Pelodiscus sinensis: one gene and its partners. The protein of the gene in region 2 interacts with the protein of the main gene of each other region in a pairwise test. Links are inferred from orthologs where the notes say so. Each region holds a gene or a part of one and is shown on either strand. Other genes may lie near its edges.

The links.
Region 1: the proteins of MAPK3 (region 2) and DCC interact in a two-hybrid assay, tested with the Homo sapiens proteins (2 studies listed by BioGRID). The link is inferred for Pelodiscus sinensis from reciprocal best matches to the Homo sapiens genes MAPK3 and DCC.
Region 3: the proteins of MAPK3 (region 2) and DHPS interact in binary tests that used the Homo sapiens proteins (3 or more experiments, as listed by UniProt). The link is inferred for Pelodiscus sinensis from reciprocal best matches to the Homo sapiens genes MAPK3 and DHPS.

Annotation. Positions count from the first base shown.
Region 1 is NC_134716.1:114,104,043-114,110,989, reverse strand, and holds the start of DCC (netrin receptor DCC), read left to right. Parts: upstream 1-3,924; 5' UTR 3,925-4,544; coding exon 4,545-4,635; intron 4,636-6,947. UniProt on the Homo sapiens protein: Receptor for netrin required for axon guidance. Mediates axon attraction of neuronal growth cones in the developing nervous system upon ligand binding. Its association with UNC5 proteins may trigger signaling for axon repulsion.
Region 2 is NW_027465967.1:94,679-102,631, reverse strand, and holds the start of MAPK3 (mitogen-activated protein kinase 3), read left to right. Parts: upstream 1-4,860; 5' UTR 4,861-4,967; coding exon 4,968-5,122; intron 5,123-5,203; coding exon 5,204-5,386; intron 5,387-5,500; coding exon 5,501-5,690; intron 5,691-7,858; coding exon 7,859-7,953. Other genes in the region: CORO1A (coronin-1A), read right to left, coding at 1,418-1,615.
Region 3 is NC_134729.1:13,363,919-13,371,067, forward strand, and holds the start of DHPS (deoxyhypusine synthase), read left to right. Parts: upstream 1-4,141; 5' UTR 4,142-4,298; intron 4,299-4,671; 5' UTR 4,672-4,676; coding exon 4,677-4,880; intron 4,881-5,452; coding exon 5,453-5,617; intron 5,618-5,856; coding exon 5,857-5,978; intron 5,979-6,399; coding exon 6,400-6,496; intron 6,497-6,936; coding exon 6,937-7,023; intron 7,024-7,149. Other genes in the region: FBXW9 (F-box/WD repeat-containing protein 9), read left to right, coding at 477-566, 1,085-1,150, 1,540-1,614. UniProt on the Homo sapiens protein: Catalyzes the NAD-dependent oxidative cleavage of spermidine and the subsequent transfer of the butylamine moiety of spermidine to the epsilon-amino group of a critical lysine residue of the eIF-5A precursor protein to form the intermediate deoxyhypusine residue.

The DNA of each region.
Region 1 (6,947 bases), on a different chromosome or scaffold from region 2:
AACAGTCAAGGGGATTTTGGGAAGCTATGTAATTATATGAAAATATGAGCCTGGAGAGATGGGGAAAGAGGTAAATTTGTGAATCATCCACAGAAAGAGTGCATTAAAGTAATGGGAATGGGAGAAGTCCCCAAGAAAGTGGGAGGAGAGGAGGGAAGAAAAGGAAGGAGTTTTGAAGGATGTCAGCAGGTAAAGGGAGAGAAAAATTATCACACAGTTCAGTCCATAAGGTGGTTGGGTAGGGAGGGATCCAAGCAAGAATAGGGTCATGCAAGCCAAGAGAAAAGACCAAGAAGGAATTCAATGATCAGCAGTGTCAAAGGCATCAGACAGAGAAAGGAGAAAGAACAGAAAGGTGCTTTGACTTGGCTTGGTTTCATGGAATGGAAAGTGGAAGTTGGATGGGAGAGGTTCCAGTGCAGAATGGGACATAAGCAAGTTAAGATGTAATTTTTGGTGAATGCCACTGTTTTATATTATTTTTGAATTCATGATAAAATGTTTAATACATTGATTATATGGGAAGTCTTCCAGATCCAGGCTCTCCCCAATACTGATGCATAGAGTATATATTTTAGTAGTCGTGCTTGTGACAGAGAAAAGACAGAACTCTGATGTAACACACACTGAGTGGATTCCTTTTTGAGCATATTGTACACCCACAAATCCTGTGGCTCCTACACTCCCCCTCTTGGAGACTGAGGACTGTGTTCTGGGCTACACGGTGTCACCAGGCATGGTCTACTATTGTCCTGGCCTGGGCTAAGTAATCATGGAATAGATTGCTGCATTTTTTTTTAAAGACTGGTTAGTTATTACATTTCACCCTATCAACAAACTGTTCAAACAAAGAGAAACATTAAGGTCTGAAACTGTACTAGCCCCAGCTCATGAAAAAGCTGATAGAAAAGTCTAACCCAGACAAGCCATCACTGACAGAATTTTGCAGCAAAGATTTTTAAGGTTGTATCTGAAGTTCCTGCCTTCATCTATGGGACTTGGGAGTCCTATGAGAATTTCACTCAGGCAAAGACTTTGTAAGACATGAGGGTTGCTCTCTATTCTTCTCAGGAAGTGCTCTCCTATTCAACGAACAGCCACCAGAAAGGGATGTGCGAATGTCAGATTGAAGGACAACACCTCCCTGCAGCTTTGTTCATTGTAATTTTAATTAATGGATATATCCCATTCTGGTGTGGGTCTTCAACACAAGTCCCTATAGTCCAGTGCTACCAGCTGAACTAGACTGCTAGTAATAGTAGGGATCCAGGCTCCCCCACTGATAAGCACATGTCTTCATATAGCTAGTTCATTTGCTTTGCCATGTTGTTGTAACTGTCCTTTTTGGGGATAAGAGACAAGATGGGTTGGAGTTGTTGCTGTTGTTGTTAAAGTCTGATCCCATTTCCTAGAAGACAAAACAAGACAAACACAAAAGAAGGTAGAAAAAATAGAGGGAGAAAAGGCACTTCTGTTTTTTATGTCAACTCTTACTTACAACCTTGCTGCTAGAAAAATACAGGCACAAGACATGGTCTAGTTATTCCAAGACTTGGCAAACTTGGTCCAGCATGTGCTTGTTTAAGATGTTGCTTTTAGTTCTCTCCATGTTCACAGGCTTACGGCAGCGTTGCAAAATATACTTTGGCCAAAAAAACCCCAACAAATGGTCTGGTAGCACTTTATAGACTAACAAAACATGTAGATGGGATCATGAGCTTTCGTGGGCACAGCCCACTTCTTCAGATGACTGGAGTTCTCTGAAGAAGTGGGCTGTGCCCATGAAAGCTCATGATCCCATCTACATGTTTTGTTAGTCTATAAAGTGCTACCAGACCATTTGTTGTTTTTTTCTCTAACAGACTAACTTGGCTATCCCATGAATACTTTGGCCAGTTAGACTTCTATAAGACAGAAGTTAAGAGGAGAGGAACAGGGAAAAGAAACAGATAAAACAAGGTGGAGAATGTAAAGGACACGTGATAGAGGGATGCCGGTTACACATGCCAGAAGGTATTTGCCATTTAGCCACAGACACTGGGTCCTCCTCTCTGCCCTGGTCTGGTCAGAACATCTCTCAGAATCAAGATATTGAAGGTAGAGCAGTGTCATGGTGGATCCCAAGGAAACAGTGGAGGTGGCAGTCATGTTTCCCTTTCTTTCAATCAGCTAATGCCTCTTGGCTCCCTAAAATTTCTTTTTGTGGCACACTAGCTCACTGGTAAATCCACCAACTAGGCCACATTTCTGACACGTACATTTTGGTCACACTTTTTAATTTTTTTTTTTTTGGTTACCAAGCATGGTTTTAGCACAGTTGTTGGGTTGCATTAGAGGGCCTTTCTGTTTTGGACTCATTTAGGGCAAGCCTTACACCGCTACATCAGCGCAGATGCACTGATGCAGCTGTGCTGTTATAGCATTTCTGGTGAAGGTGCATTGTACCGTGGACTAGTGACTCCACCTCATCGAGAGTGTTTCCCACTGATGCAGCATTGGTGTGAATAGCACAAAACTTGCATCACTTGAGGGAAACTTGCATTACATCCCTGAGCAGCATATATTAGATCTACTTAAGCAGTAGTATAGACCTGCTCCTAGGCTTGCTGACAGGGGGGTGGGGAATGGGGCAGTTGCTCCAGAGCCTGGTGATTTAAGGGGGTTTGGGGCTCTGAACGCTGTTTCTGACACAGTAGCAGTGGTAGTGGGCAGAGTCCCAGATCCTCTAAATTGCTGCCGAAGCACCGTGCTACATCCTTTGGATAGCACTAAGGGCTGTGGGGGTGCACACCATGCTCCTGGCAGTGCTAAGGGTTGCCTGGGACTGGCGTGGTACACTCCGGGAGGCTCTGAGGGCTGGCCGTCCTTGGCCCTACCCCTTCTAGAATCCCAGATCCCCCTGCCTTGTCCAGAGGTCCTAGATTTTTAAAAAATTTTTTGCACCTTTTCCCATCAGCATTTATTATTATATGCGATTGGAGCATTTTGTAAACTTTTATTCACTTTTTTACAATTGACCTTACAGTTAGGGTAAGTTTTTAATCCTGATTATTGTAAGAGTCCTTATGAGTCAGAAGTGTCTACATGCTTTATCGCAACTTTTGTGACCTTTTTTTCTTACTGTATCGAAGGACAAAACTGTAATCCCCACCGATGATGATGATGAAGTATGGCAGTGCACTGCTCTGCTGGATGCCAAATAAAAGCAAGAAGAACAAGGCAGCCTAAAGATGCTGTGGACTAGTGTGAGAAAACTGGACATTTAATACATCCTACAACAGGATGAGTATTGCAAAATAAAAAGAATATGACGAGGATAAGACCAGTGTTGCCATCTCATGAGTTTATCGTAAGCTTCCTAATATTTGGTATTTATCATAAAGCTCCCATAGTCATGTTCTGTGGAAGTCTCAGCATTCATTTTAAAAAGTAAATTTCTTGCCCTCAAGATAGTTGAGGAAAACATGGAAAATTGGTCCCTAAAGATTCAAACTTCAGAAGATAAATGAAAATAACTCATTTAAAAAAAATCCCATGATTTTAAAGACTAGCTTATAATGATTGGTATCTGACTCCTGATTTTTGAATTCTTGGAGTTGGCAGGGTGGTGAGATGCAAAAATTAAAGCTGATCAGCTTAAAAAGCAGCTTTCACTGTAGAGCAGACTCCCAGGACAGAAGAAACAAACCAAAACACCCGATGCAAACCACAACTGGGGAGCTTTACAATGATAGGAGGTGAGCTAGCTACAGAAGCAGGGACATGCACTGTATTTAAAAGATTCATTGAGGAAAAGTTATTTCCCACGCTCTACCTACAGAGGGCATCCCAGCTCATTCATATTGTAGATTCAGTGCATGCAGCTGCTGGAAGCAGCAGGGCTCAGGGCTTTTTTTTTTTTTTTTTTTTTCCAGTGGAATCTTTTCCGTGATCCCGTTGGTTTCTCTCCGCTCTCCACGTTTTCCCTTCCAGCCCTCCACTTCTTCGGATCAATGGATGTTACAGCTCTAACTCCCATCTCACATATTGCTGGTGGACAGCTCCAGTAACAAGTGAGAGCGTTACATGCCCCTTTTCTTTCCCCTTCTTCTTTCCCTCCCCACCAACATCTGCCAAGAAGGAGGAAAATAACAAGCTTTCCCCTTTTGTATTCTTCTGATTGTTTTTATTTTTATGACCATATCTATATTTTGTACTTTGTCCAGCAGTGGAAATGGAGCAACCCCCAATCTTTTGATGCACTCTGGTTTGCTTTTTTGCAGTATTTTTTCAATATATGGTTTTCCAGCCGTGGGAACACTGTTCCCCACCTTTCCCCCTTTTTCCTTGAGTTAGTTTCTCCTAACATCATCTGGAGGTTTGGTGGCACTTGGACTGAATATAACTTTTCCCCTTCCGCATCCCCTAACTCCCCCTTTTGCTGAGCCTTGCCGGTGGGGACTAGAGGAAAAAAAAAAAACAGAAGAGGAGGCGGCAGAAAGGGGCTGTGTGTGTGATTGTTGCTGGTGCTCAGGACCCAAATCTCTGTAGGTGTGTGTTGAAATATGGAGAATAGTCTTGGATGTGCTTGGGTACCAAAGCTGGCTGTTCTACTCTTCGGGTTTTCTCTGATCAGCCTGAATCTTCAAGTCACCGGTAAGTCATCACTGTCTTATTTGTCTTTTGCACTCCCTGAATAAGGGTGAGTTTTGCAAACCCTAAGAAATGTGCTTCTCTCGTCTGTGTTATCAGAATTTCCCTTCCTTTTGATTTTGTTGTTGTTGTGGATCAGTGTAGGCATTTGCAGGCACTTGATGTAGATTTGAAAAGGAGTGAGATCAAATTTGGTTTAGAGGCACCCTGAGCTGCCTGTGAAATAGGAAAACTAACTGAAAGGAAAGAACCCCCCACAAAATAAAGGAAAAATGTGGGAGGAGGTGCTGATAGCATGTGTGTGTGTGTGTGTATGTACACACTGGTTTGTATTCTCTTTGCACCTGACCACTGTTTCAACTGGATTTATTTTCATGTAGCTTTTTTTTTTATCTTTAGGCTGAGATGGGATATATAGTTTTATTTATATTTTTTCAGATGGTAGGGGACGGGCAAATAATGAAAAGAGAAATATTAGTTTGCAAGATGGAAAATGCAGTTATTTGCAGAGTGTCTCCAAACTCCATTTGATTGATATTCTTTCGGGCTGCCTCGCTCTCTTTGCACTTGGCAGGCACATTTTCTGATTAAAAATGGCAAAGCTGGTGTGTGTATTGAATTAGGATACAGAAGGAAAGAGGGGGGATTGATATTGTGATGCTCAGGAGCTGCCTGTGGTAGAGGCAGGGAAGACCTGGGAATTAAGAGAGATTTTGTAAAAATATAATCAGGAAATTGGAGTATTATTGAGAAGTGTTAGAAACTAAGCAAGTGAAGCTTTGATTTGTAGGTGACTCTGTAGGGTGTGTGTGTGAGAGAGAGTACAATGCATGTGAGAAAATATTATTCTCCAGTGATCATTTTTTTTCCTCCAGAAGAAAACGAGCTGTGTTTCATTAGGAGAAATCTTAGTAAGAGAGACTCATGGAAAACAAAAATAAATAAAAATAAACATACACACATTGCTTCTACACCAGCTGCTGCTGAACAATAGAAACCGATAGGTCCCCCCACCCCCTACACACAGACACACGCCACTAAAGCAGGAGTGTGTGTGTGTGTGTGTGTGTGTGTGTGTGTGTGTGTGTGTGTGTGTGTGTGATAAAGTGCTGCATATCAAAGCCTTTGGGAAAAGATCTTTACCTTAGACTGGTATCATTCAGAATATAAGCTGCATTCAAATAGAAATACCTTAAATTGTTCATATAGATGATGCTTCCTTTCAAATATATATTTTTGGATTTTTTTGGGTTGGGAATAAGTGAATTGGGAAGGCTTTTCTGCTAAATACAAGAAGATTCATATTGTGTGTGTGTGTGCGTGTGTCCCATACATGTCCTTTGCAATTACTTGCATGGAAGGTGGGACTTGGGAAATCAGAGCAGGATAATAGGTGTCTCTCTTGAATTTCCAACTTAAAGGATAGTAGATGGGAGACATCTCAGTGATCCTCCTTTTGGCACGATGATTGGCTTGCAGACCTCTTTGCTGACATATGGCAATTTGGGTCCTGTGTGCAACCGTGTGTGTGTATGTATGTGTGCAAGAGAGAGAGGAGGAGAGTGAGGATACACACTGCCTCAATGATGTGTGTTTGTGTGTGTGTGTGTGTGGTGTGGGATTATGATGTTGTCTGATTATACACAGAGAACTCATTACAGGAGCAAATTGTTTCCTAGCTGTACATTTGGGTTGTGCATTTCACTCTTTATTTATAATGTGTCTAATACTTTGGAGGCATATATTTGTGTGTCTTATCAAGTTCCCTGATCTGATCTTTGCAAGCTAGAATTGTGCAAAGTTTCCCCTGTGATTAGCCTATAGATCCTTCTTGAGGTGGTTGTTTTAAGCCCCCCTTTCACAATCTGGATTCACTGACAAAGTAAAATAGATCTTGCATCTTTAAGGAAATGTTGTTCGAGTGTCTTTGGCCCCTGCTCATTAATCTCTGGGTTTCCACTACTCTCCTTAGTCGCTATTTTCTCTCTTCAGAAACCTAGCAGGGGACTGATAGTGAAGAAAGCATAATTCACTCTATGAAAGGACCAGTAGGAGGTGCCCTTAATAAGGCCAAGTAGCTGGTTTGCTGTTTGGCAAAATTCCCGTTCGGCAGGGCATTTAAAGACTTTGTTGACCGGTAACAAAGGGCTTATAGAGATGCAACACAATGTGACTGTGTCTTTTCGCACTTTCTAAGTAAATCCCAAAGCTGGTTTGTAGATGTAAGAATTTGTTAAAAACTTTAACAACAAAGAGCAGTGTTGCACAGTGTCAACAATGAGGAGGAATATGCTAGTTTTGTGCCTGAATGAAGT
Region 2 (7,953 bases):
TGGTTACAGCAGGGCCGGGAGGGCAGTGGGGTGCAGCGGTTACAGCAGGGCCGGGAGGGCAGTGGGGTGCAGCGGTTACAGCAGGGCCGGGAGGGCAGTGGGGTGCAGTGGTTACAGCAGGGCCGGGAGGGCAGTGGGGCGCAGCGGTTACAGCAGGGCCGGGAGGGCAGTGGGGTGCAGCGGTTACAGCAGGGCCGGGAGGGCAGTGGGGTGCAGTGGTTACAGCAGGGCCGGGAGGGCAGTGGGGCGCAGCGGTTACAGCAGGGCCGGGAGGGCAGTGGGGTGCAGCGGTTACAGCAGGGCCGGGAGGGCAGTGGGGCGCAGGGGTTACAGCAGGGCCGGGAGGGCAGTGGGGCGCAGGGGTTAGCGGGCAGCCTAGGTTCTCTCCCAGCTCGGAGGGGGGTAAATGTTTGTAGGGAGTAGAACCCGCAGCTCTCTGCCTCTCCCCAGTGCTGGGGATATTTCCCAGGGGCCAGGGGCCTGGGGCCTGGGGCAGGGCCAGGCTGTGACAAGCAACCCAGCTCCCGTGCCCCTGCAGTGCCCACAGCAGGCGACATGAGCCCCTCCCCCCAGTGGGCAGCCAACCTGAGAGCAGGGCAGTCTGGCAGCAGGGCGGGGGCCGGGCCTGCCTCAGCCCTCCTGGGCACCAGCCTCAGGCCTGGCTCTCCCCTCACGCCCCTCCCGCCTCGTCCCATGGTCCTGCCACGGGGAAAGTTGGGCCCACGAACCCAGCAGTCCCATGACAACCTTACCCGGGCATTGTGCAAAGGGGGCACTGGGGGGCACTGGGGGGGCAGGGGCTGCAGTGGGGGGCGCTGGGGGCAGAGCTGGACCGGCAGGGGCTGGGGGGCGGGTGTGGGGAGTGGGACGGAGGGGGAGGGGCTGAGGCGCTCTGCTCCCGTCTTTCCCATCACGATGGAAGTCACAAGGTGCCGCGTTCTGGGAGCCGAGGGTCCCTCCAAAGCCGCATCCTGCCCCGGCCTCCCCCCGGGCCAGGGAAGGACACAGGGCCCTTTGTAGCTGCACCACAGACCTTTATTCCCCCGGCGCCCCCGCCCCTGCTCCATTTCTGGGGCTCCTGGCTACGGTGACCCAGGTGTGGCTGCCACGGCTCCGAGAACCAGGACGGGGGGCTGGGCTGTGGTGTCCCAGACCTGCCCCCTCCCCGCAAACCCACTTCCCCTTTTACACGGCTGCTTCCGCCCCCGCTTCACGTTTGGAGCCATTTAAGGCAAAAATGTCAAGATCTGCATGTTCGGCGGTTTCACAAAACAGCCCCCCCCCCCCCCCCCGGAAACAGAAAGGGGGGGGCAGACAGTTACCTAAGAAGCGCAGGGCGGGGCTGGCGAGGGGCCCCGGCAGGGCTGGGCCGGCAGAGGGGGGAGGGGGTCACTAGCAGGGATGGGGGCGGGGTTACCTTAGCCAGGGGCAGCACCATGAAGGCCCCTCCCCCACTGGCCTCCACGACAATGGCCAGGAACTTGGGGTTGACGGTGCAGAAGCCGCTGTCCCAGGTGGTCTGCGAGACGCGCACGTCGTCGTAGGACTGGTCGGCCTTCGCCGGCTGCCCGAAGACGTGGCGGAACTTGCTGCTGCGCACCACCTGCCGGCTCATGGCGGCTGGGGGAGACGCGCCGTTAGTGCTGCCCTCGCGCCCGCCGCCGCCTGCCCGGCCGCCGCCCCTCGCGCCCGCCGCCGCCTGCCCGGCCGCCGCCCCTCGCGCCCGCCGCCGCCTGCCCGGCCGCCGCCCCTCGCGCCCGCCGCCGCCCCCTGCCCGGCCGCCGCCCCTCGCGCCCCGCCGTCGCCTGCCCGGCCGCCGCCCCCTGCCCGGCCGCCGCCCCTCGCGCCCGCCGTCGCCTGCCCGGCCGCCGCCCCTCGCGCCCGCCGCCGCCGCCTGCCCGGCCGCCGCCCCCTGCCCGGCCACCGCCCCTCGCGCCCGCCGCCCCCTGCCCGGCCGCCGCCCCTCGCTCCCACCCCCCCCATCCCCCTGCCCGGCCGCTGCCCCTCACTCCAGCCCCGCCACCACTCTGCCCCTCACTCCAGCCCAGCTGCCCTGCCACCCCGTCGCTGCCCCTCACTCCAGCCCGGCCATTGCCCCTCTCTCCCACCCTGCCGCTATCCCTTGCTCCTGCCCCACCACCCTCTGCCTGGCTGCTGCCCTGGCTCTACCTGTAGGTAACTGGGTGTAGCAGCATCACTCTGCAGAGACGGGAAGGGTCAGCCGAGAGGGCCCAGGACCTCCCTCCCTCCCACCCACCGGCCAGAGCAAGAACCCAGGAGCCTGGCTTCCCCCTCCCCCCCCCCGCTCTAACCATCAGACCCCACTGCCCTGCCCAGGGCCAGAACCCAGGAGTCCTGGCTCCCCCCCGCCCCGCTCTAACCATCAGATCCCACTGCCCTGCCCAGGGCCAGAACCCAGGAGTCCTGGCTCCCCCCCGCCCCGCTCTAACCATCAGATCCCACTGCCCTGCCCAGGGCAAGAACCCAGGAGTCCTGGCTCCCCCCCCCCCCCCCGCTCTAACCATCAGACCCCACTGCCTCTGCTCTCACCAGTTCCAGGCACTCTGGTGTGACAGTGAATCTGGAGGCTGAAACCAGCACCTTTTAAGGGTGGGGGTGGGGCCTCCCAGGGATAGCACAGCCTGGGGGGGGAGGGGCCAGGACACTCCCTCCCACTTCCCAGCCAGGGGCTGGGCGGGAATCCGCTGCCAGTGGCAGAGGGGTATGAGCCTGGGCACAGGGACCCCACCCCCCGCCTGTCCCCCCGTGCCCTGCTTGGGCCCATTTAGCTCCCCCCCACCTGCATCCCCTTACACACACCCATCTCCCCATGCCCTGTCTCGGCTCACCTAGATACACCCTCCCACCTCCACCCCCTTACACCCCCACGTGTCCCCCCAGCATCCCCTTACCCCCCCACCAGTCCCCCATGCCCTGCCTGGGACCCCTAACTACCCCCCACCAGCATCCCCTTCCACCCCCCCACCAGTCCCCCATGCCCTGCCTGGGACCCCTAACTACCCCCCACCAGTCCCCCATGCCCTGCCTGGGACCCCTAACTACCCCCCACCAGCATCCCCTTCCACCCCCCCACCTGTCCCCCATGCCCTGCCTGGGACCCCTAACTACCCCCCACCAGCATCCCCTTCCACCCCCCCACCAGTCCCCCATGCCCTGCCTGGGACCCCTAACTACCCCCCACCAGCATCCCCTTCCACCCCCCCACCAGTCCCCCATGCCCTGCCTGGGACCCCTAACTACCCCTCACCAGCATCCCCTTCCACCCCCCCACCTGTCCCCCATGCCCTGCCTGGGACCCCTAACTACCCCCCACCAGCATCCCCTTCCACCCCCCCACCTGTCCCCCATGCCCTGCCTGGGACCCCTAACTACCCCTCACCAGCATCCCCTTCCACCCCCCCACCTGTGCCCCATGCCCTGCCTGGGACCCCTAACTACCCCTCACCAGCATTCCCTTGCACCCCCCCCACCTGTCCCCCATGCCCTGCCTGGGACCCCTAACTCCCCCTCACCAGCATCCCCTTCCACCCCCCCACCTGTCCCCCATGCCCTGCCTGGGACCCCTAACTACCCCTCACCAGCATTCCCTTGCACCCCCCCATCTGTCCCCCATGCCCTGCCTGGGACCCCTAACTACCCCTCACCAGCATCCCCTTCCACCCCCCCACCTGTCCCCCATGCCCTGCCTCGGACCCCTAACTACCCCTCACCAGCATCCCCTTCCACCCCCCCACCTGTCCCCCATGCCCTGCCTGGGACCCCTAACTACCCGTCACCAGCATCCCCTTCCACCCCCCCACCTGTCCCCCATGCCCTGCCTCGGACCCCTAACTACCCCTCACCAGCATCCCCTTCCACCCCCCCACCTGTCCCCCATGCCCTGCCTCGGACCCCTAACTACCCCTCACCAGCATCCCCTTCCACCCCCCCACCTGTCCCCCATGCCCTGCCTGGGACCCCTAACTACCCCTCACCAGCATCCCCTTGCACCCCCCCACCTGTCCCCCATGCCCTGCTTGGGACCCCTAACTACCCCCCACCAGCCCCGGGGCTGAGGCTGGGGGGTGTTGGGAAATCAGACCCGGGGGGCCCTGAGGCTGGGGGGGGGGGAGGGGCCGGGGAATCAGACCCGGGGGGCCTTGAGGCTGGGGGGGGAGGGGCCGGGGAATCAAACCCGGGGGGCCCTGAGGCTGGGGGGGGGAGGGGCCGGGGAATCAGACCCGGGGGGCCCTGAGGCTGGGGGGGGGGCCGGGGAATCAGACCCGGGGGCCCTGAGGCTGGGGGGGGGGGAGGGGCCGGGGAATCAGACCCGGGGGGCCTTGAGGCTGGGGGGGGAGGGGCCGGGGAATCAGACCCGGGGGGCCCTGAGGCTGGGGGGGGGGGAGGGGCCGGGGAATCAGACCCGGGGGGCCCTGAGGCTGCGGGGGGGGGAGGGGCCGGGGAATCAGACCCGGGGGGCCTGAGGCTGGGGGGGGGGAGGGGCCGGGGAATCAGACCCGGGGGGCCCTGAGGCTGGGGGGGGGGAGGGGCCGGGGAATCAGACCCGGGGGGCCCTGAGGCTGGGGGGGGGGGGAGGGGCCGGGGAATCAGACCCGGGGGGCCCTGAGGCTGGGGGGGGGGGCCGGGGAACACCCGGCAAGGTGCCGGCGTGGGCAGGGGCGTGGCCAGGTGGAACAGTGGGCGTGGTCGGAGAGGAGCTCCTCGAGCGAGGGCGTGGCCTAGTACCGTAGACTGGGTCTGGGGGCGGGGCCTAAAGCGGCAGAAGCGAATGACAGGGCACAGCACTTCCGCCTTTCGATGACGTCAGAAGCAGCGCTCCAATCCGGGCGCGTAGCGGATGGCGGCGACGTGACGCGGGCCGTCGGGCAGCCCGTGCGCCTGCGCAGAGCCGTCGGGCGGGGCGGTTCCGGGTGCGGCTGCGGCAGCGGGATCGGAGCGCAGCGGCCATGGCGGCGGCGACAGCGGCGGCCCCGGGGGGGCCCGGGCCGGTGCCGGGGGCGCCCAAGCTGGGGGTGGAGTCGGTGAAGGGGCAGGTGTTCGACGTGGGGCCGCGCTACACGGACCTGCAGTACATCGGGGAGGGGGCGTACGGCATGGTCTGGTGAGCGCCCCCCCGCCGCCCGGGCCCCCCCCCCCGGGGCTGCGGGGCGCGGCGCTAACCCCGCCCCTCCCGTCCCCGCAGCTCCGCCTACGACCACGTGAGCAAGGCGCGCGCGGCCATCAAGAAGATCAGCCCGTTCGAGCACCAGACGTACTGCCAGCGCACGCTGCGCGAGATCAAGATCCTGCTGCGCTTCCGCCACGAGAACATCATCGGCATCAACGACGTGCTGCGCGCCGCCGCCATCGAGCACATGCGCGACGTGTATCCTGCCCCGCCCCTGCGCGCGCCCGCGCCGGCCCCTGCGCGCGCCCGCGCGCCCCGCCCCCCGCGCGCGCCCCGCCCCGCGGCCGTTGTGCCCCTTGACCCCGCCCCCAGCTACATCGTGCAGGACCTGATGGAGACCGACCTGTACAAGCTGCTGAAGACGCAGCAGCTGAGCAACGACCACATCTGCTACTTCCTGTACCAGATCCTGCGCGGCCTCAAGTACATCCACTCGGCCAACGTGCTGCACCGCGACCTCAAGCCCAGCAACCTGCTCATCAACACCACGTGCGACCTCAAGGTGGGCCCGCCCCGCCCCCTCGGCCCCGCCCCGCCCCCGCCCCCTCGGCCCCGCCCCGCCCCCGGCCAGTCCAACGTGCTGCACCGCGACCTCAAGCCCAGCAACCTGCTCATCAACACCACGTGCGACCTCAAGGTGGGCCCGCCCCGCCCCCGCCCCCGCCCCCTCGGCCCCGCCCCCGGCCAGTCCAACGTGCTGCACCGCGACCTCAAGCCCAGCAACCTGCTCATCAACACCACGTGCGACCTCAAGGTGGGCCCGCCCCGCCCCTCGGCCCCGCCCCTCCGCCCCGCCCCTCCCCGCCCCCGGCCAGTCCAACGTGCTGCACCGCGACCTCAAGCCCAGCAACCTGCTCATCAACACCACGTGCGACCTCAAGGTGGGCCCGCCCCGGCCCCGCCCCTCGGCCCCGCCCCCGGCCAGTCCAACGTGCTGCACCGCGACCTCAAGCCCAGCAACCTGCTCATCAACACCACGTGCGACCTCAAGGTGGGCCCGCCCCGCCCCTCGGCCCCGCCCCCGCCCCGCCCCCGCCCCGCCCCCGGCCAGTCCAACGTGCTGCACCGCGACCTCAAGCCCAGCAACCTGCTCATCAACACCACGTGCGACCTCAAGGTGGGCCCGCCCCGGCCCCGCCCCTCGGCCCCGCCCCCTCCGCCCCGCCCCCGGCCAGTCCAACGTGCTGCACCGTGACCTCAAGCCCAGCAACCTGCTCATCAACACCACGTGCGACCTCAAGGTGGGCCCGCCCCGGCCCCGCCCCTCGGCCCTGCCCCCTCCGCCCCGCCCCCGGCCAGTCCAACGTGCTGCACCGCGACCTCAAGCCCAGCAACCTGCTCATCAACACCACGTGCGACCTCAAGGTGGGCCCGCCCCGCCCCCGCCCCCGCCCCTCGGCCCCGCCCCCTCCGCCCCGCCCCCGGCCAGTCCAACGTGCTGCACCGCGACCTCAAGCCCAGCAACCTGCTCATCAACACCACGTGCGACCTCAAGGTGGGCCCGCCCCGCCCCTCGGCCCCGCCCCCGCCCCTCGGCCCCCGCCCCCGGCCAGTCCAACGTGCTGCACCGCGACCTCAAGCCCAGCAACCTGCTCATCAACACCACGTGCGACCTCAAGGTGGGCCCGCCTCGGCCCCGCCCCCTCGGCCCCGCCCCGCCCCCGGCCAGTCCAACGTGCTGCACCGTGACCTCAAGCCCAGCAACCTGCTCATCAACACCACGTGCGACCTCAAGGTGGCCCCGCCCCGGCCCCGCCCCTCGGCCCCGCCCCCTCCGCCCCGCCCCCCGGCCAGTCCAACGTGCTGCACCGTGACCTCAAGCCCAGCAACCTGCTCATCAACACCACGTGCGACCTCAAGGTGGGCCCGCCCCGGCCCCGCCCCTCGGCCCTGCCCCCTCCGCCCCGCCCCCGGCCAGTCCAACGTGCTGCACCGCGACCTCAAGCCCAGCAACCTGCTCATCAACACCACCGTGCGACCTCAAGGTGGGCCCGCCCCGCCCCCTCCGCCCCGCCCCTCCCCGCCCCCGGCCAGTCCAACGTGCTGCACCGCGACCTCAAGCCCAGCAACCTGCTCATCAACACCACGTGCGACCTCAAGGTGGCCCCCGCCCGCCCCGCCCCGGCCCCGCCCCCTCCGCCCCGCCCCCAGCCAGTCCAACGTGCTGCACCGTGACCTCAAGCCCAGCAACCTGCTCATCAACACCACGTGCGACCTCAAGGTGGGCCCGCCCCAGCCCCGCCCCTCGGCCCTGCCCCCTCCGCCCCGCCCCCGGCCAGTCCAACGTGCTGCACCGCGACCTCAAGCCCAGCAACCTGCTCATCAAACACCACGTGCGACCTCAAGGTGGGCCCGCCCTCGGCCCCGCCCCTCTCAGCTCCCACCCCGCCCCTGGTGGCGTGTCCCACCCCCAACCAGCCATAGGCCCCGCCCCCGGCTGCACACCCCCAACCAGCCCTCAGTCATGACCATGCCTCTGACCCCATCCAGCCCTCGGTCACACCCCACCCCGTCCCCAACCAGCCCTCAGCCCTGCTGCACGCACACCCCCGCACTGCGCCCCACCCCCACCGATCCCCCTTCACACCTCCCTGTGTCTCTGCCTCCACTGCTGCGTTCCCTGGGCTCCAGGGGGGCGGGCAGCTCAGCTAACCTTCCTCCCCGCTGCAGATCTGTGACTTTGGGCTGGCTCGCATTGCCGACCCCGAGCACGACCACACCGGCTTCCTGACGGAGTACGTGGCCACCCGCTGGTACCGGGCCCC
Region 3 (7,149 bases), on a different chromosome or scaffold from region 2:
ATGCCTGTCTTCCATTAGCCCCGTGCTGGCTGGGTCTCGGGTCCCCATGTCCTGGAGGGCAGGGGAAGGGGTCTCAATGCTCCTTGACCCCCCTCCCTCCCCTCCGCTGAGATGGCAGCTGATGGCACAGTGGGAAGGAGCTGACCTGGCCAGACTTTTTGTGCCTTTAGCCCCCATTTGTCTCGGTTCCCTGTTAGCATGGTAGTACCTCACGGGGGGGAGGGGGATCGTGACAGCTCAGACACTGTGGCGATGTGTCCACATGAATACCTGGTGAGGTACGAGCTGCCACCCTCAGAACCACTTTGGAGAGGGACCTGGAGGGTTGAGGTTGGGATGCGGAGAGTCCCTGGCATGGAGGAGACGGGTTAGGAACAGAGAGATGCTGGGATCCATGTGGGTTTGGAACAGGCAGGCCATGGCTTTCACCCCTGATGGGGCTTGCAGGGGGCTCATGGTCTCCTTCCTCCCCACAGTACTTCAACGTGGGTCACCGGTCCCAGATCACTGGGGTCTGGCACTCCCTGGGCACGCTGTACACGACCTCCACCGACAAGAGCCTGCGGGTAAGATCCAGGCTTGCCTAGCGGCCCTTCTCCACCACTCATGGGAGCCAGGAATGCCTGAGTCCTAACCCCAGCCTTGGGACGCTGGCTACAAGTTACATCCCTGCTCTGTGCCTCAGTTTCCCCACCAGGGGGTAGGGGCAGTGGCCCCTCTCGTTTTTCCATCTGTGTGCAGAATAAATGTTACAAATGCAGAGGCACATGCCGATGTGCACCACCCAAAAAGCCACAGGCTGCCAGCTGTGGGCGCTCTGCTCACCAGCTGGGTGTCACCTGGGCAGCTGTCCCAGGGCTCAGCTTCCAGGGGACACGGGAAGGGGTGATACCTGCTTCCTGCAGGGCTCTGAAGGTGTCTTGGGCCCTTGGTAGCCGGCCCTTGTCCTGGGGTAGCTGCACCAATGCAAACCCCCTAGTGCTGACACCAAAGTACCAGTGCCCCCCCCAAAACAGCACACGGAGAGGCTCCTCTGAGACTCACTAAGCTCTGTGCAACCTCCCCACAAGTCGTCTCTTTCCAGATACACGTTCCCACGGACCCGCCTCGCACTGTCTGCACACGGACACACAACAACGTGCTGAACGGGGTAAGGCAGCCCCGGGCCTCGGAATCGGGGAGGACAAGAGTGTCTGGGCATTGAGCGCCCAGCCACCTTGCGTGCTGTGCTCTAGCCGGGGGGAATCCCCGTCCCTGCACTCTCCCCAAGCCACACCTGGCTGACACGTCCCGTCCTGGCTTCCTTCCTGTGGCCTGGGCCCACGGCCACTCAGCTCCGCCCGGGGGAGCGCTCCCTTCTCCTTGCACACACGGGAGGGCCCCGCAGCCATGCTGAGCACTAGGACACCTTGTGGCTAAACTCGGAGCGGGGGCAGGGTGTACGTAGCAGGAACCCTGGAGCCGGCGCCCCGGGATCCTGGATTGACGTGGCCTCAGTCCCCGGTGCCTGTTCACACCCCCTCTCCCCCTTCCCCCCAGATCAGCGCGGAAGGCAACATTGTGGTAGCTGCTTCCGGGGGCCTGTCCTTGGAAATCTGGAGGCTCAACGCCTGATGGAGGCCTGGATCTGCGGAGCCGTGTGTTGCCGGGGGAGGTGCTGCGCCCGGCGCCCGACTGCCGGCCGGGGGGCCAGAGTTCCGGCGCCCGTTCGTCGGTCATTTGTTCCTTGTTCTTTGGAAGAGGCCCGAGGAGCCGCGAGGTCGAAGTTTCGCTGCCTGAGCTCACCCTGGCCTTGCTGTTCCCAGAGGGGTGGGAGCCCGGCCAGCCTTCCCCCGCCAGGTGCACTGCCTTAGCTCTCTGGCTCACGTTCTTCCCCTCCTGCTCTGGGCTTCTTAGCTGGCTGAACCCTGGCCTGATTCCCAGGCAGCCTTTGCTACTGATCTACCTGCCACGGTGCATGGGCCCTGGCTGCTCCTTCGGGACCTGTTCCAAAGGCCTCTGGGGTCACAGTGCAGGTGGGGCTGGGAGTGAGGGGTCAGTCCGCTGGACGGCGCCGTCGGGGGGCGCTTGCTGCTAAGGGCTGAGGAAGGCAGAGGCAGGGGCTGATCGACTGGCTGTGTAACCTAACGGGACTAAGTTTGACCCACGTGCTTATGTTGTTGATTAAAATATTCTGCCAGACTGGAGCCGAGTAGAGCGCTTGGTGGGTTCGTTATCCCCTTCCCGGTGCAGTCACAGGCACGCCGTGTTGGAAATTCCATCCTGGTCTCCTGGGAGCTCCAGACACGGCGGCTTTCTCCTCTCCCTGCCTCCCCACAGGAATTGCAAGAGCCAGAGTGAAGCACTGGGGGAATGGGCTATGGAGGCTTTATTGGGGGGTGGGGCTGGGCTGTGAACAGGGCCGTGAGCGTTTCACTGACGCCAGTGAGAGGGTCCCTGCGCCACCCGGGGCCGTTTGGACAAACACAGTGTGAGGTTTCGGGTTCTGGCCCAATCCCTGAGGCCCTTCCTGCCTGTGCACAACGAGCTGGCTGGGGCAGGCCCCTTCCCCAGCAGAACCGGCTGCTGTGGCTAACTGGGGTCCCTGCAGTGCGGGGCTGTATGTCTGTCTGCCCTCGCATTGTAGTAACCCTCTGCTTCCCAGCACCCCTCCTGGGAAATATGGGTGGGGAAACTGAGGCACGGGGGCACTGCAGCGACTGTTCCAGGCTGCCACTGACTCCCTGTGCAGACGTGGGCATCCTCCTTCCACCCGAGGGGGGGTTGAGAACAGAATGGGTAACTGAGGCTTCACTTCTGCCCTTCGTGCTCTTCTCCCATGAGGGTTTGCCAGCTGCCAGCCTGGCCCAGCACTGAAGTTCCCTGCAGTCCCTGAGGGATGGTTTCTTTGGGACCCAGAACAATCCCAGGCTGGCCCTTTGCTGTGGACACATGGCCTGGTTCCTTCCCCCCACCCTTGCATATGCCTGGAGCTGATGAAGGATTGCCGTACAGGGGGAGATCCTGGCCTGACCCCTGTCCTAGTGCCTGCCTTGGAGACCTGGGGGGGGTGGTCAAAAGGCAGGTGAGCAAAGTCAGAGGGTGGGCTGGGGAACAGGGACTAGTGGTTGGAGCAAGGGGTGGGAGCCAGGACTTCTGGGGTCCCCTCTCTGGGAAGGAAGTGGGGACTAGTGGTTAGAGCAAGGGAGGCCTTCCTAGAGATGGGTCCAGAACATAGGGGTCCTGCTTCCTAACGCCTGTCCTGGAAGGGGGAAGTAGGGTCTAGTGGCTAGAGCAGGGGCATTCTGGGAATTTGGGACTCCTGGATTCTCCTCCTGTCTTGGGGAGGCCCTGGAGTGTGAGTGCTTGCTGCTCACGTCCTTGCTCTGCCCCCTACTCTCCACTGTCCTTCCAGAGCTGTCAGCAGGGTGCCCCATCCTGGAATGGAGGAAGGGGTCAGGCACCTACTGCCTCCCTATTGCAGAGCTGACTTCACAGCTGTCCCAGGCAGTATCTGTTTTTCTGCTGGGCCCCCTGCCGGGCCCAGTCACCTGTGAAAGGAACATGCCGGCCCGATTTAGCTTCCACCTCCTGGGCAATTAGTGCTCCCTGCAGGACGGCTCCCTCTAATCCGTCCTGTGAACGGGCTGGAGGCCAGAACAGGCTGAACTCTGTGTGCGCCCTGGGCTGCTGCAGGGCTGGAACCCCCCCTCCACCCGCATGGACCAGCTGCCCTGGGCGGGGGTCTCGGGGATGGGACTCCCCACGGGAGCAGCAGCTGCACCTTTTCAGGCCTGTGTGATGCTGGGGAGCAGGGGGAGGTGGGGAGATCTGAGGTGGGCAGCCAGGACGCCGGTCTCGCCCCCATGGGCTGTAGGTTGGGTGAAGAGGGGGCCCTGCCAGTCCCGCACCAGCGGAACTCCCCGCTGCAGGACGACGCGGGGGAAGGCGGGTGGTCTCTATAGCGTTAACCGACGTGCTTTCGCTTATCGGTTAATCGATTCCGGATCCATCCCCGCCCGGGGTCCAGTGCGGGGCTGGCTCGGCTCGGACAGGCTGGTGTTTGAAGGGGCCTGGCGTAGGTGCTGGGCTCTTGGGTCGGAGGACACTTGACCCTGCAGGGCTCCCGTACGTGGCTTCTATTCAAGATGGCGACGCCCACGCATACGGTTCCCGCGCGGCGGCGCTCGAGGGGCAACATGGCGGCGCCCAGGCGTACGGACGCGGTCCTGACCCCGCGGGGCTGCCGTAGCCGGCCGGGCTGAACATGGCGGCGGCCAGGAGCGCGACAGCGGGGCGAGAAGGGCTCTGAGGCGCAGGTAGGAGCCGGGCGGGGCCTGGAGGGAGGGAGCGAGCGAGCGAGCGGGCGGGCGGGCGGGCGGGTTTTGTGGGGGCGGAGGGTTCCGTGGGGGGGTTCGTGTGGAGTTTGGGGGGGCTCGCTGGGGGGGGTTTCGTGGGGAGGTTCGCGGAGGGGGTTGGGGGGGTTCGTGGGGAGTTTGGGGGGGCTCGGGGGGGTTTCGTGGTGAGGTTGGGGGGGCTCGCGGGGGGGGGTTGGGGGGGTTCTCGGGGGGGGTCGTGGGGAGGTTGGTGGGGCTCGCGGGGGGAGGGGTGGCTGGGGGGGTTTCGTGGGGAGGTTCGCGGAGGGGGCTGGGGGGGGTTCGTGGGGGGGCTGACCCCGGCCCGTCTCCGCAGGCCCCATGGAGAGCGCGGCTGAGGGGTTCCCCGCCGCGGCGGTGGCGGCCGTGCTGAAGCCCAGCGCCGTCCTGCCCGAGGAGAGCCTGCGGGTGCGGGGCTACGACTTCGGGCGCGGGCTGGATCACCGGGCGCTGCTCCAGTCCTACCTCACCACCGGCTTCCAGGCCACCAGCTTCGGGCAGGCGGTGCAGGAGATCAACAGGATGGTGAGCGGGGGGGCGCGGGGGCGCCAGGACTCCGGGGCTCCGTGTCGCTCGCCGCAGGCAGGTCACTTCCCCGCTGCGAGGCCAGAGACCTGGGTGGGGGCCGGTGGCCTGGGCGTCTGCGCTCCCCGACCCAGCAGCCGGGCAGGCCCGTCTCTGCCAATACGCAGAACACCCAGCTGAGTGGGGCACCAAATTGCACGGTGCCCATGCAGCTGGGTGCTGCATATGGGCTGTAGCAGCCCCCTCCCCTGGCTGGCCAGCCCCCTAGCCCGTGGCTCTGTGGCAGCTCGGGTCCCATTCCCCAGCCAGGCCCCTGTAGGGTGGGTAGCCAACAGCTGGAGAGAAGCGGCTGTGTGGCTGTTCTTTGCTCCCCGGGCCCATGCCCCTGCGTCTCCCCCACCCTGCCTAGGGCTGCCAGCTCTCCCAACCAGACTCATTTGCAGCAGTGACGTTCGGTCTGGGAGAACTGGCAGCCCTCCCCCTGCCCCCACAGTCCCCTCAGTGCAGGGCTGTGTAGGGCATCAGCATGGATAGGGATGGCCCTGCTGATGTGGGGCTGCTCTGGTTCCCAGATCGCGGCGAAGCTGGAGCCTCTGGGGGAGGAGGAGGAGACCCGTGCAGACCTGAACCCCTGCCGCCGGCAGCCCTCAGGCTGCACCATCTTCCTGGGCTTCACTTCCAATCTCATCAGCTCCGGCATCCGCGAGACCATCCGCTACCTGGTGCAGCACAACATGGTAAGGCCCCTGCCCCCTCCAGGTGCTGAGCCCTGCTCCCGTGTCCCTCTGTGCCCTCTTGACACTAAGCACCTGCATCCAGAGGTGCCCCCGTATGTGTCAGGCTCTGCCACCCAGGCTGCTGTCATGGCCCCCCCATTCCCTTCACCCACCACAGAGCTGGGCTCTCCCACCTGATGAACAGTGGGAGGGCTCCCTGGGGTGGGGTTCTGACAGGCTGGGGTCCCTGTGCCATGCAGGTGGACGTGTTGGTCACGACAGCGGGTGGCGTGGAAGAAGATCTCATCAAATGCCTGGCTCCGACCTACGTGGGGGAGTTCAGCCTGCAAGGGAAGGAGCTTCGGGAGAGCGGGATCAACAGGTACAGGCGGGGCTGGGGTAACAGCTGGGAGGCAGGACTCCTGATTTGGGGGAGAATAGTGGCTAGTGGTTAGAGTCACGGGGGACTAGGAGTCAGGCCTTGTCAGTGCTTTAGGAGGAGAGTGCAGTCTAGTGGTTAGAGCAGGGGAGCCAGGACTCTCCTGGGTTCTGTCCCTGCTCTGGGAGTGGGGCCCAGGAATGAGAGGGGGAGGCTGGGCTCAGGAAATGATGCTCTAGAAGTGAAAGACGCTGTATTTGTTCTCAGCCCCTGGATCCATCCAGCCATGATCCTCTTTGTGCCCCCCCCCCCTGGGGATCAGGAAATGCCAGTGGTGTCCCTGTTCCTTGGGGTGGGAGGAGGGGCTGAGCCCAGCTGGGCTGGGGGGGGGGAGGGCTGGGGATGAACCTGCTCCTGTCTCCAGGATCGGGAACCTGCTGGTGCCCAACGACAACTACTGCAAGTTCGAAGACTGGCTTATGCCCATCCTGGACCAGATGGTCGCCGAGCAGAACATGGAGGTGAGGGCGGGGGGGGGAGGGGCTGCGGCTGTAGGACACTGGGAAGGTCTCTGACCTGATCCCTACTCAACCCCCTGCCAAAATACCTGGCATGTGCAGATGGGTGGAGGAAGGGGGCTGGGAGTCAGGGCTCCTGGGCTCTGGGAATGGAGTGTAGGGGAGGGGGGGTGTCCAGTGGGTTGAGCAGAAGGTGGGTGGGTGGGACACCAGGAATCAGGACTCTTGGGTCTTATACCTTGGGTGAGGCACATCCCTCTGTGACTCGGTTTCCCCATCTGCACCATAATGGGGAGAGCTGCCAGGTGGGGAGCTGTGAGGGTGGGCACCTTAACGTTGATAACGCCCCGCGGGCCCCAAGTCTCTGAGCTGGGGGGCAGGGCAGGGCTCGGGTCACTGCAGGGGGGCGCTTTCACTGCAGCTTTGGCCCTTGGGCCCTGCAGGGGGTGAAGTGGACCCCGTCCAAGATGATCGCACGGCTGGGCAAGGAAATGAACAACCCCGAATCGGTCTATTACTGGGCACAGAAGGTCAGTGGAGGGGGGTGGTCCTGTGCTTCAAGGGCGCTTCTGTTCATTCCCCCCAGGGTCCGGGCTAACCATGCCCAGGGTACAGCCTGGCTTAGCTGAACCCCCCCCCCCCCCCCGAGTGCCCCT